Linked DNA regions of Caenorhabditis elegans. The protein of the gene in region 1 interacts with the protein of each later gene in a pairwise test. Each region holds a gene or a part of one and is shown on either strand. Other genes may lie near its edges. The genes, in order: str-131 and metl-13.

The links.
Region 2: the proteins of str-131 (region 1) and metl-13 interact in a two-hybrid assay, tested with the Caenorhabditis elegans proteins (one large-scale study listed by BioGRID).

The regions. Positions count from the first base shown.
Region 1 is NC_003283.11:8,079,513-8,083,637, reverse strand, and holds str-131 (Serpentine receptor class r-10), read left to right. Parts: upstream 1-1,958; 5' UTR 1,959-1,959; coding exon 1,960-2,233; intron 2,234-2,398; coding exon 2,399-2,477; intron 2,478-2,524; coding exon 2,525-2,801; intron 2,802-2,848; coding exon 2,849-2,977; intron 2,978-3,022; coding exon 3,023-3,271; 3' UTR 3,272-3,489; downstream 3,490-4,125. Other genes in the region: catp-3 (Cation-transporting P-type ATPase N-terminal domain-containing protein), read right to left, coding at 3,819-3,932, 4,011-4,125.
Region 2 is NC_003282.8:6,633,022-6,638,846, forward strand, and holds metl-13 (Methyltransferase domain-containing protein), read left to right. Parts: upstream 1-2,067; 5' UTR 2,068-2,070; coding exon 2,071-2,156; intron 2,157-2,394; coding exon 2,395-2,620; intron 2,621-2,694; coding exon 2,695-2,906; intron 2,907-2,951; coding exon 2,952-3,063; intron 3,064-3,115; coding exon 3,116-3,234; intron 3,235-3,280; coding exon 3,281-3,418; intron 3,419-3,466; coding exon 3,467-3,653; intron 3,654-3,697; coding exon 3,698-3,869; intron 3,870-4,128; coding exon 4,129-4,316; intron 4,317-4,363; coding exon 4,364-4,508; intron 4,509-4,562; coding exon 4,563-4,807; intron 4,808-4,857; coding exon 4,858-4,998; 3' UTR 4,999-5,134; downstream 5,135-5,825. Other genes in the region: C01B10.9 (Bis(5'-adenosyl)-triphosphatase), read left to right, coding at 1-160, 218-497, 829-949, 996-1,157, 1,225-1,497, 1,609-1,671; C01B10.7 (TransThyretin-Related family domain), read left to right, coding at 5,558-5,650.

The DNA.
Region 1 (4,125 bases):
ATTGAGAAACGATCAAATGGAAAATTTCAAGTGGCGGCAGAATGGAAATATAGCCAAAACTTGCAATTCGAAAAATACAAAACCTTAAAATTTCTACATGTATCATGTTCAAAAGAGACAACATTTTAACCTCTCAGCCGTGATCACCCATTAATCTTTTTTTTTTGGTCAGGAAGAATTTTATTCTATTGACGTCAAATACACTTTCTGATTATGAACTCAACTAATAAAAACATCTATTTGAAAAGATTTCATTGTGTTCAGAAAGCTTAGGTAAGCCAAATAACTGAAAGCAAGCTAAGGAATTAAATAACTTCCTATTATTCAAATAATTTCAAACCTTGAGAAGTACACTGACCTAAGGAATTCAGGAACTGATAGTGAGTTCATATAGTTTGAACTATTCGTTGTCATTCATAGCAGTTCTATTAAATTCAAAAAGCTGTTATAGTTTTTAAAAGCAATAACATTTTCAAATTTCTGGGAGACCCAAAACGTTTACCCCCTTCCCCTTAATAGTCCAAATGAATGAACATAAGGTTTACGTCACCCTCTCATTGTTTTTAAGCAGAAATCACTGAGATCATGAGATGTTGATCAAACGCATTTTGAGAACTACAACTAAAGTTCAGTAAAATAGAAATTTACAGACGTTTGTCTCAGTTGTTTTATTGTAGTTTCCGATCGGAATTCTCAAAGTGTTACTGTTTTTAAGAATGGGAGCAAAATGGTTATTCAGTATTTCAGCATTATCATGTTGTGTACTCGCCAATTGAACCAATTATCACTATAACTCGCATTAAACCTTTCCAAAACGCGTAGTGATAATTTGAAATACTGTCCCGAAGTATTTGAAAACGAACACAGTCTTTATTTTGACAAGTATAGCTGTTGTAAAAAATAATTTCGAATAGTACAAAATGATGGTATTGTAAAAACTGAATGAAATAAATTAGTGATATCAATTGTAGTTATGGAATTAGCACGACAAGCGTTCTCTGTAATAATGTGTATTTGTAGTGTGATGATGATATTAATCTGAAAGAAAAATAATAATTTAGAGATCGGATGTTCATCAAAGTTTGAATTTCCACAGATTGAAAATTCTTTGTGTTGCTTCAACTGGTAAAATTTGTAAAGCAAGTTTCCTAATAAATTCCTTTCTGGAATTTGTCTGATAACTTCCTTAGAAATACGACACATCTGAAATTTTTGAATGCACTTCATCAGTTTCCCAATGTTTCCCAATTATCGAGAATCACCTGCAACATCACTCCCAATCACGGAATAATAAGAATTGTACTCGAAATACTTTAGTTGGCTTGTTTTGAAAATATTAATAAATAGGATTATAATTTGTCACTTTCAGAAACATCCATTAAAAAACAACAAATCAGAAACGGTATGATGATTACGGATTTCGTGTTTAAAAAATGTGATTTTAAAATATTTTAGACATCTATGAATTTGTGGTTTTTCAGTTTGATATTATTTGAAACAGCCCAAAAATCAAAAATCATTCAAGAAATTTGGCTGCAATTTCCATCGGGTACATCAATGGCCAGGTGTCCAAGTTATTCTAATCTCTAGTTTCTACAAAAAGAATCATTCAGAATTAATAATTCGAATTTCTGCAAAAAAGTGTAAAGTCATCAAAACAATGTTACTCTGTTTTCTACCTTTTTTGTTTTTTTTTTCCGAGCCGACACACCATTCTTTTACTTCATTTAATCTGTTCTGTGCATCAGTATGTGATTTGAGACAGACACTCCTCCCATTTTCTTCACTTCCTTTGAAAGAATGAATCACAGACAACCGGAGCAGCTGATTTCAATATTAATACAATTCAATTCAAGACTACACTTCCTCCATTCTTCCAGTAACTTAAAAACGCCTCTTTCTGATTGGAGTATAAATTAACTTCCAAAAATTAGTATTAGGGTGTTTTTGTACGACTCTATGATGCTTTATCGAGTAATCCATTACATTCAGTTTGCTGCTTTTGCTGTTTCCCAATGTACCAATGGACTTTTGTTGTACCTAATATGGACAAAGGCTCGGAAAGTTTTAGGTGCCTATAGCTACCTGATGCTTGCCTTTTCTCTTTATGCTATACTATACAATTATGTCGATATTATAACTCTGCCATTGGTGGTGATCGAAAAACAGATGTACGTGGTAGTCAATCATGGACCTATTCGGAATGTTCCAATCTTTGGTTTCCTATTCACATGTGAGTTCTAAGTTTGTTAGTTTTGATTTAAGTTAGGAATTTACATTATCCTATTTTTTTGGCGGAGAATCTTAAAATTTAAATGGAAATTCTATATAGAATGTGACTAGCAATTGTTGAACTATCATTTTAAAATTTTTTTTGAGTTCAATTTTAATATTTTAGGCCTGTTCGGATCATCCTTTGGTTTGTGTATTTCTCTACTTTCTACACAATTCTTTTATAGATATCTTGCAGTTTGTAGGTTCGTTCTCTAGATTCAACGAAAAAACTTATTACAAAAAATTTCAGACCAAAGTCTTTGCACTATTTAGAAGGCCGCCGATTGGCTTTGATATTTATCCCTGCGATTTTTGTCTCCGTCATTTGGTTTTTCTTTTGCTTCTTTGGATTGGATATAACTGTCGAAAAACAAGAAATGTTGAAAGAACCATTCATGGAATTTTACAACGAGGATTCAAATACGATGTCATTTGTTAGTGGTCTTTTTTGGAGTCTTGATGAAAATGGAACGAAGCATTGGAATATGAAAGATTGTATTGGATCACTCGGTTTAGCTGCGTTGATGGTAAATATTATTCTGTAAATAAATTGTAGCTTTAATTTTATTTTCAGATTGTTTGCTGTCTTACCATTGTTTTTTGTGGCGTAAAAACATACAAAAAGATGAACGATTCTGGAAATTCACTTAGCAACCGGACAAAAGAGCTCAATAGACAATTATTTGTCACATTGAGTTTGCAGGTAAAAAATAACAAAAAATAATTTCTAATGATCATTTATTTTCAGACTCTCCTCCCATTCATGCTGATGTATGGACCTGTTGGACTTCTGTTCATCTTCCCGCTGTTTCAAATTAAATTTGATATTTTGTCAAGCTCAGCAGCCGCCTCAACTGCTATCTACCCTGCCGTCGAACCATTAATCGCAATTTTTTGCATCAAAACTTTTAGAAAAGCACTGTGTTTTAATCAATGTATCAGGCAAACTGCGAGAATAACCAGCACTGCTGCCTCAACCGCAGCAAAAAGCAATTGAACATTTTAAAGAAATGTATTTTTAGATGTTTTGGTTGTTTTTTCCATAAAGAACATTTGAAAAACAAATCTGTATATTTGAACCAGTCAAAACTTTTGCAATTTTTTAATTGTTAAAACGTTAATTGACAAAAACGTTACTTGAAAATAAAAAAATAGAGAGTTTAAAAATAGTTAGACTTTGTGTTTTGTCTTATAATAAAGGTTCGAGAAAACAAACTTGTTTTTAAAAATTTTTTCAATGAAAACTTCTCTGATCATCAACGCACTTTACGTGTGGTTTATCGTTTTTGAGTGCGAAGATAAACATTTTACAGAAAGTTCCATTTAGTCTTTGTTCTATTGATGCTATCAAAGTTTAGAGAGAAAATCTCTTCTCATCACACCTTCTTCATGTGAAGAAAAACAACGTCATTTAACACCCTGCGGTTTTTGATAGTATGAAGAGATAAGCAAGAGAAAATCATTCATTGTTCCTAACTTACTTGGAGAAAAATATCGATAAATGAAAATAAAGCACTTTAATATATACATGAGACCATTTGCAATCACCACTTGACCAATCGAACCAATTTGTTTTTCGGATAGTTTCTAATTCCGAATTTGCGGAGTTCGTTGAAGATCCAGATCCAGATTCCGACAATGACTGGGACAAGCCAGCACTAAAAAATTCAAATTAATATAATATTGAGTTTACAATTCACAGAAATTAAAGTTTTGAAATCCAGAGCTTTACTTACCTCCCATGGTGGTGGTTGGGATCCGAAGACATATTGTACTCCTGGAACAAATGTGAAAAGACAGATGAGGAGAAGATCAATGATGACTGCAAGAATAGCAACAATGTTAGCCATT
Region 2 (5,825 bases), on another chromosome or scaffold:
ACACTTCATGGAAACGGATTTCATAACAAGGAAATTGAGAAAACATTAAAGAAACTTGACGATCTATTTCTTTATTTTATCAAAAAATTCGATGATAATAATTTGGGAGCTGATGTGAATATTATCCTAACAGCTGATCATGGACATGCAGAAATTAAAGGTAATAATTTAAAATAGTTGAAATTAAAATCTTCATAATTCCTAAAACTAAATTCAGATCACAAACATGTCATGTGCGTGAAAGATTATGTATCTGGCGCTGGATTCGAAATGGGTGATCATATGATTTATCCACACTCGGATGAAATTGGAAAACAAATTTATGCAAATTTAACATCAGCAGTGAAAGAGCATGGATATGATGTGAATATTCATTGGAGAGAGGAAGTTCCAGAAAGATGGCATTATCGAAACAGTTCGCGAATTGGAAAAATCGTTTTCGAGCCGCAAATCGGTTCTTCGATTTCGTTTTCGTGTACGAAGGATCTTATGGAAAAGTATGTGGTTTACAACCGGGCTGTGCGGCAAATTTTTCTGGCAAACGTAAACAATAGTAATGCAGAAACAGGTGCATTCTATCTGAAAATAATATTTAGCTTTGTTGAATAATTGGAAAAAAAACCTTAAATATTGCCCGAATGTTGTCATTTGCAGAATAACTTTTAACGGCACTATTTGAGACCTTTGTCAAGTTTTTCAACAAAAACAAATATCATTTTTAGATGGAATGGGACATTTTTTCTTGAATTATCATATTAAAAAAAGGCAGTTTGATCCGTTTACCGGAAAAAATATTACAACGATTAGTTTATTGAAATCAACTTTCAGGCAATATGGAGAAAACGGAACATTAAAATTCAATTCATCAACTCACGGACAAGATCCTGATCGTCCAGAGATGAGAGCTTTCCTTATTATGAGAGGCCCAGCGTTTTCTGAAAATTATACGGTATAAGCTAGGCATTTTGAGAACTGTATGATAAATATTCTTTCAGATTGCCGATATTCCTTCAAATGTGGATTTGTACAATATAATGTGTCATGTGCTTGGTATCACACCAACTGAAAATAATGGAACCATGGAAATTGTGAAACGAGCTTTAAAAGAGAACAGATATTTACCAATGACACATGGTTTCGTATTTAATCAGATTACGGTAGGTTATTCCACAGAGTATTTGACTCAATTCTAAAGCTTATCAAAAGCACATAATTTTTCTTCAGGATTCATGGAGTTTTTCGCTTATTTTAATTCCTTCAATGTGTATTGTTATAATATTCTTCGCTTATGGATGTAAGAATACCGTACTCAAATCTGATCCCAATTGGGGAAGATCCGATACAGTTCAAGGATATCGGCCATTGAGTAACCGGACGAACGAAGGATTCGAATTAAATGATGATGAGGATGAGGATGAAGGAGATGGATTAAGGAATTCGATAGATTTAGAAAGAGGTGGAAGAAGGAGTCAAGCAGGAGGTGGTGCACTTGGAAGTGTGAGTTTTATATTGAAATAATCGGAAAATCAAATATCGCTCGAAATTATTTTAAAGAAAAAATAAATAAAAAATTACCCGAAATGTTCTCAAAAATGTGTAGATTTTCAGCTGAACAATGGAACGGTAGCAATGTCTGGACTACTGGATGAAATGAGCGATGATGATATTTGATCTTTTTAATATAACTTTTTGCATTCAAATTGTAAATATTTCTTGTGACCTCTTTATATATTTCCCCCATTGTGCCTTCGATTTCTCTTTAATTTCTGCAGAATATTCAAATCACAAAGCAAAATATTTATCTCTTTATTTGTCCTAGTCATCCTTTCATCTCTTTTTGATTTTTTTCCCCGGTTGTGGATTTTCAGGATTTTCAAAATCATCCAAAGACAGTTTATCAATTTTCAATGTGATATATTTTCAAAAAAGATTACTTAACTTTAATAATGAATGTTTCTCATATTTTTTACTTCTTAATTATAATTTTATTTTCTTTGGTTTTCATTTAGCCTCATGTTTTATTTCGAGTATTTAAAATGATTATTTTTCTAGTTTCTATAGTTTCAGGCCATGTCCGCTCCAAATGAGCCACAATCTTTCACGGATCCAGCGTACTGGAAGAACTTCTTTGCAAAACGAAAATCTCCATTCGAATGGTAATTAAATAATTATATTTCTTTGTTAAAATATGATGTCTTTCAAACAAAATTAAAAGAAAATTATCACATCACTATCAAGTGTTTTTCAGATTTGTCAAAGAAAAATTATCAATGTTTCGAAAAATAACTTAAAATATTGACCATTTTTCTTCTTTTTAGATAGAAATTTTTCCTCATCAACATACACAAAAATTGAATGCTTTCGATTCTCATGTAAAAATTTGAATTCTTTCAGGTACGGTGACTATAATTCTTTATCAAATGTAATTGATAAATATTTGAAACCGAAAGACACGTTCCTTCAACTTGGATGTGGTAATTCGGAATTAGCGACCCAACTCTACGATAATGGATTTCATTGCATTCACAGTATTGATGTAGAACCATCTGTTATTGCCACACAGATTCGTAAAAATAAAGAACGACTCGGAATGACTTTTGAGACTGGAGATGCTGCTAATGTGAGTTTGGAGAATGTCCCGTTGTGCACAATGAACAATTAAAAGAAAAGAAATTCGAAAATAATATGTTATAGCTATCCATGGCCGATGAAGCACATACCATTGTAATTGATAAAGGAACTCTCGACGCTCTTCTTCCACCATCAGCTTCAGAATCCGATGAAGCATTGGTTACAAAGATGTTCGAGGAAGTTCATCGTGTATTGGCTTCTGGTGGAAGATATATCATTGTCACATTGGCTCAACCACATATCACCGAGTTCTGGATTAATCACTTCTATCCATTGTAAAATATTCATTTTTCTCAAAAATCTGTAAAACGTTATTCCAGAAAGCAATATATCCTACGTGTTCAAAAAGTTGAGAACAAGGCTTCTGGATTCCCAATGCCAGTTTTCTGCTTTATTGCCACGAAAATGCGAGCACCAATGCCAAATCCATTGGTAGGTAGATAAATTGCAAATTATTTTATTTAAATAAAACCTATATTTTTAGCCTCTAGAAGTTCTTCGCTCCAGCTCCATCCGTACTGATCGTATCGATAGCACTGACGAATTGAAGGATTCTATTCGTGGAGAACAGGAGCTCTCACAATTCATCTACCTGTGCTCGAAGTAATTCATTTTAGTTTTTCCCTTGAAATTAATGAAATTAATTTAGAAAGCTGGACTCTGAAGTTTCAATCGACTTTCATGGAGCAGATCCATCATTAGGACCACGTTATCGTATCTGTGTTGTTGATAATCCAGAAGCCAAGAAGATTGACACATTCGCCGCATTTGTGGTTCCAATTGGACGGTTTGTATAGAAAACATTTTTAAATTCGAATTCTTATATTAATTTCAGTGATTCTGAATGGCTATTCGCCTCACCAAAGGGACGAAAAGCTCTTCGTGTTCAATGTGGCCGCGAACGTCTCGCAATCGTTTTCCTCAACAGAAATCAAAAATATGAAAAAGGAATGGACGGTGTGAAGAGTGATATTGGACATTTTGTTGGAATGCTGGATGTTAGACAAGATAATACTGGAAATGTATGTAGAATTGAACACGAAACATATGAAAACCCGATTTTCAGTACGAAATTCTATCCATCGGAGGAGTCGATGTTAAGCGAACCGTTTCAACGGGACGTTCGGATATCAATGGTGGTTGGAGTGTTGAAGAAGTTACTGTTGAAGGAAATCAAACTAGAAGACTAGTTTTTCTGAATACGATGAATCTGGTACAATCTGAAGCTTATCTGAAAAGTTAGTAGTTGAAAATTTCATTTTTCAACCCCCTTTAAAGAGTAAAATGGATTTATTACAACTGAAAAATCAATGAAAACTGAGCAGCAACGAGATTTGAAAATTGCAGTATTGTTTAAAGGCGCACATCCTTCTGTATTATTTTCGGTGGAAAAAGAATAACATTTCCCATCTTGTTAATACACGAGAGGTAGTTTATCAGAATTAAAAAAGAACGGTTTAATGATGCTCACCTCAAAATTTAAAATTAACATTACAGCCGGAAAGAAGAAGCAAACGGTCATAGATCTCGATCAATTGGCATGCGATTTCCATAGAATGATGATCGGATCCCTAGCCATCAGTCCGCAACAACCATTAGCCAAGAATGATGCTCAGTGTAAGATGGCTGTTCTTGGATTAGGTGGTGGACTTTTGACTGCATATCTTGTCAGACATTTCAAAAAGGTATCAATCAAGTCTAGAAACTTAACAGTGCTAAATTTTCGTTTCAGGCTCATGTAACCGCTGTGGAACTTGATCCAGAAGTACTCAAAATCGCAAATTCTCACTTCTCGTTCCCCCATTCGGACGCTAGAATTGACGTTGTCATCCAAGATGCTCTTATTCATCTCCAGGAGACTGCAAAGAAACCTGAAGGTATTTAAAATATCATGTTCAAATTTTATTTTACAAATCAATTCTTATTTCCAGAAGAGAAATACGATGTGATTTTTGTGGATGTTTCTGGAAGTCAGAACGCTGCTCTTCAATGCCCACCATCCGCCTTCCTTACCCCAGAAGCTCTAGGAAATATGAAAAACTCGGTGAAAGAACAAGGAATGATTAGTTTGAATTTGGTTACACGCGATTCGGAATTCGGAAAGTCGATTAAAAAGAATATCGCAGAGTATTTCCCAACTCTCTACACAGTTCTGTCCTTCGAAGATGTTAATGAGGTAAACTAAATTAATTATTGAAATTCTACTAGCAAATATATTTCTTTCAGATTATCATCGGTCTCAAAACACCCAAGAACACAATAAAACCAGTGGTTCCTCAGAAATTAATCAACACAGTTCGCAAAGATATTGGAAGCTATGATGAGGTTGTCGGTGCTATCTCAAACATTCGTATGGTTGATTATTAATTGCACAATTTCGTTTGTTATCTTGTTTATTTTCAGTAATTTTTTATTATATGTATTCGATTGTTCCCAGTTATTCAAATTTTCCCCCGTTTGTTGTTTCGTTTGTTCACCTGATGAATTTTGTTTTACACTTTGCAAACATGTCTAATGTTCTCACGGTGCAGTGAAAAACAACTTTGCAGGAAAAACAACTATTAACAGCATATTCGATATCTCGACGCGATCCTACTGTACTTCCGATGTAGACTATTTGGAATTCCACTAGGAAGTTGTGCAAATTATCTGTATTTGATTATGCGGCCAAAACTATTCTATAATAACTTTGGAACTAAAAAATATTTTCCGTCACAAAATATGAAACTTTTAATTTTTGATCGTCAGTTTTTCTACAAAATAGTATTCATTTTGGTAGTGATCTGTACTGCAGAAATAGATTAATCTCTAAAAAAGTTCAGACAACGAGTAATTTCTATCAAACTGTGTTTTTTAATCTTTTAATTTTTATTTCCGCCTCTCACCGTGCGGTTATAAAATTCATAAGTTCACTTGTGCGGCCATCATGGTTCAAGTTAGTACTGTACTTTCTCTATTTCTATTGCTAATATGTCTAGTTGATTCCAGTTCTGAACCAAAACGTACAATGATAAGAAAGGTAACTAGGGAAATTAAAGCCTTCCAATTAGGCCCAAAAATGCCGGCCTACTTCGTACCTACCTCAATACAATGAACCGTTTTTTTCTAAACTTTCACTAGTTGAACTTTAATTTAATTAAAACAAACTACTTTATTTACATCGCCTTCTAATTAGATGCCTGCTTTTATATACA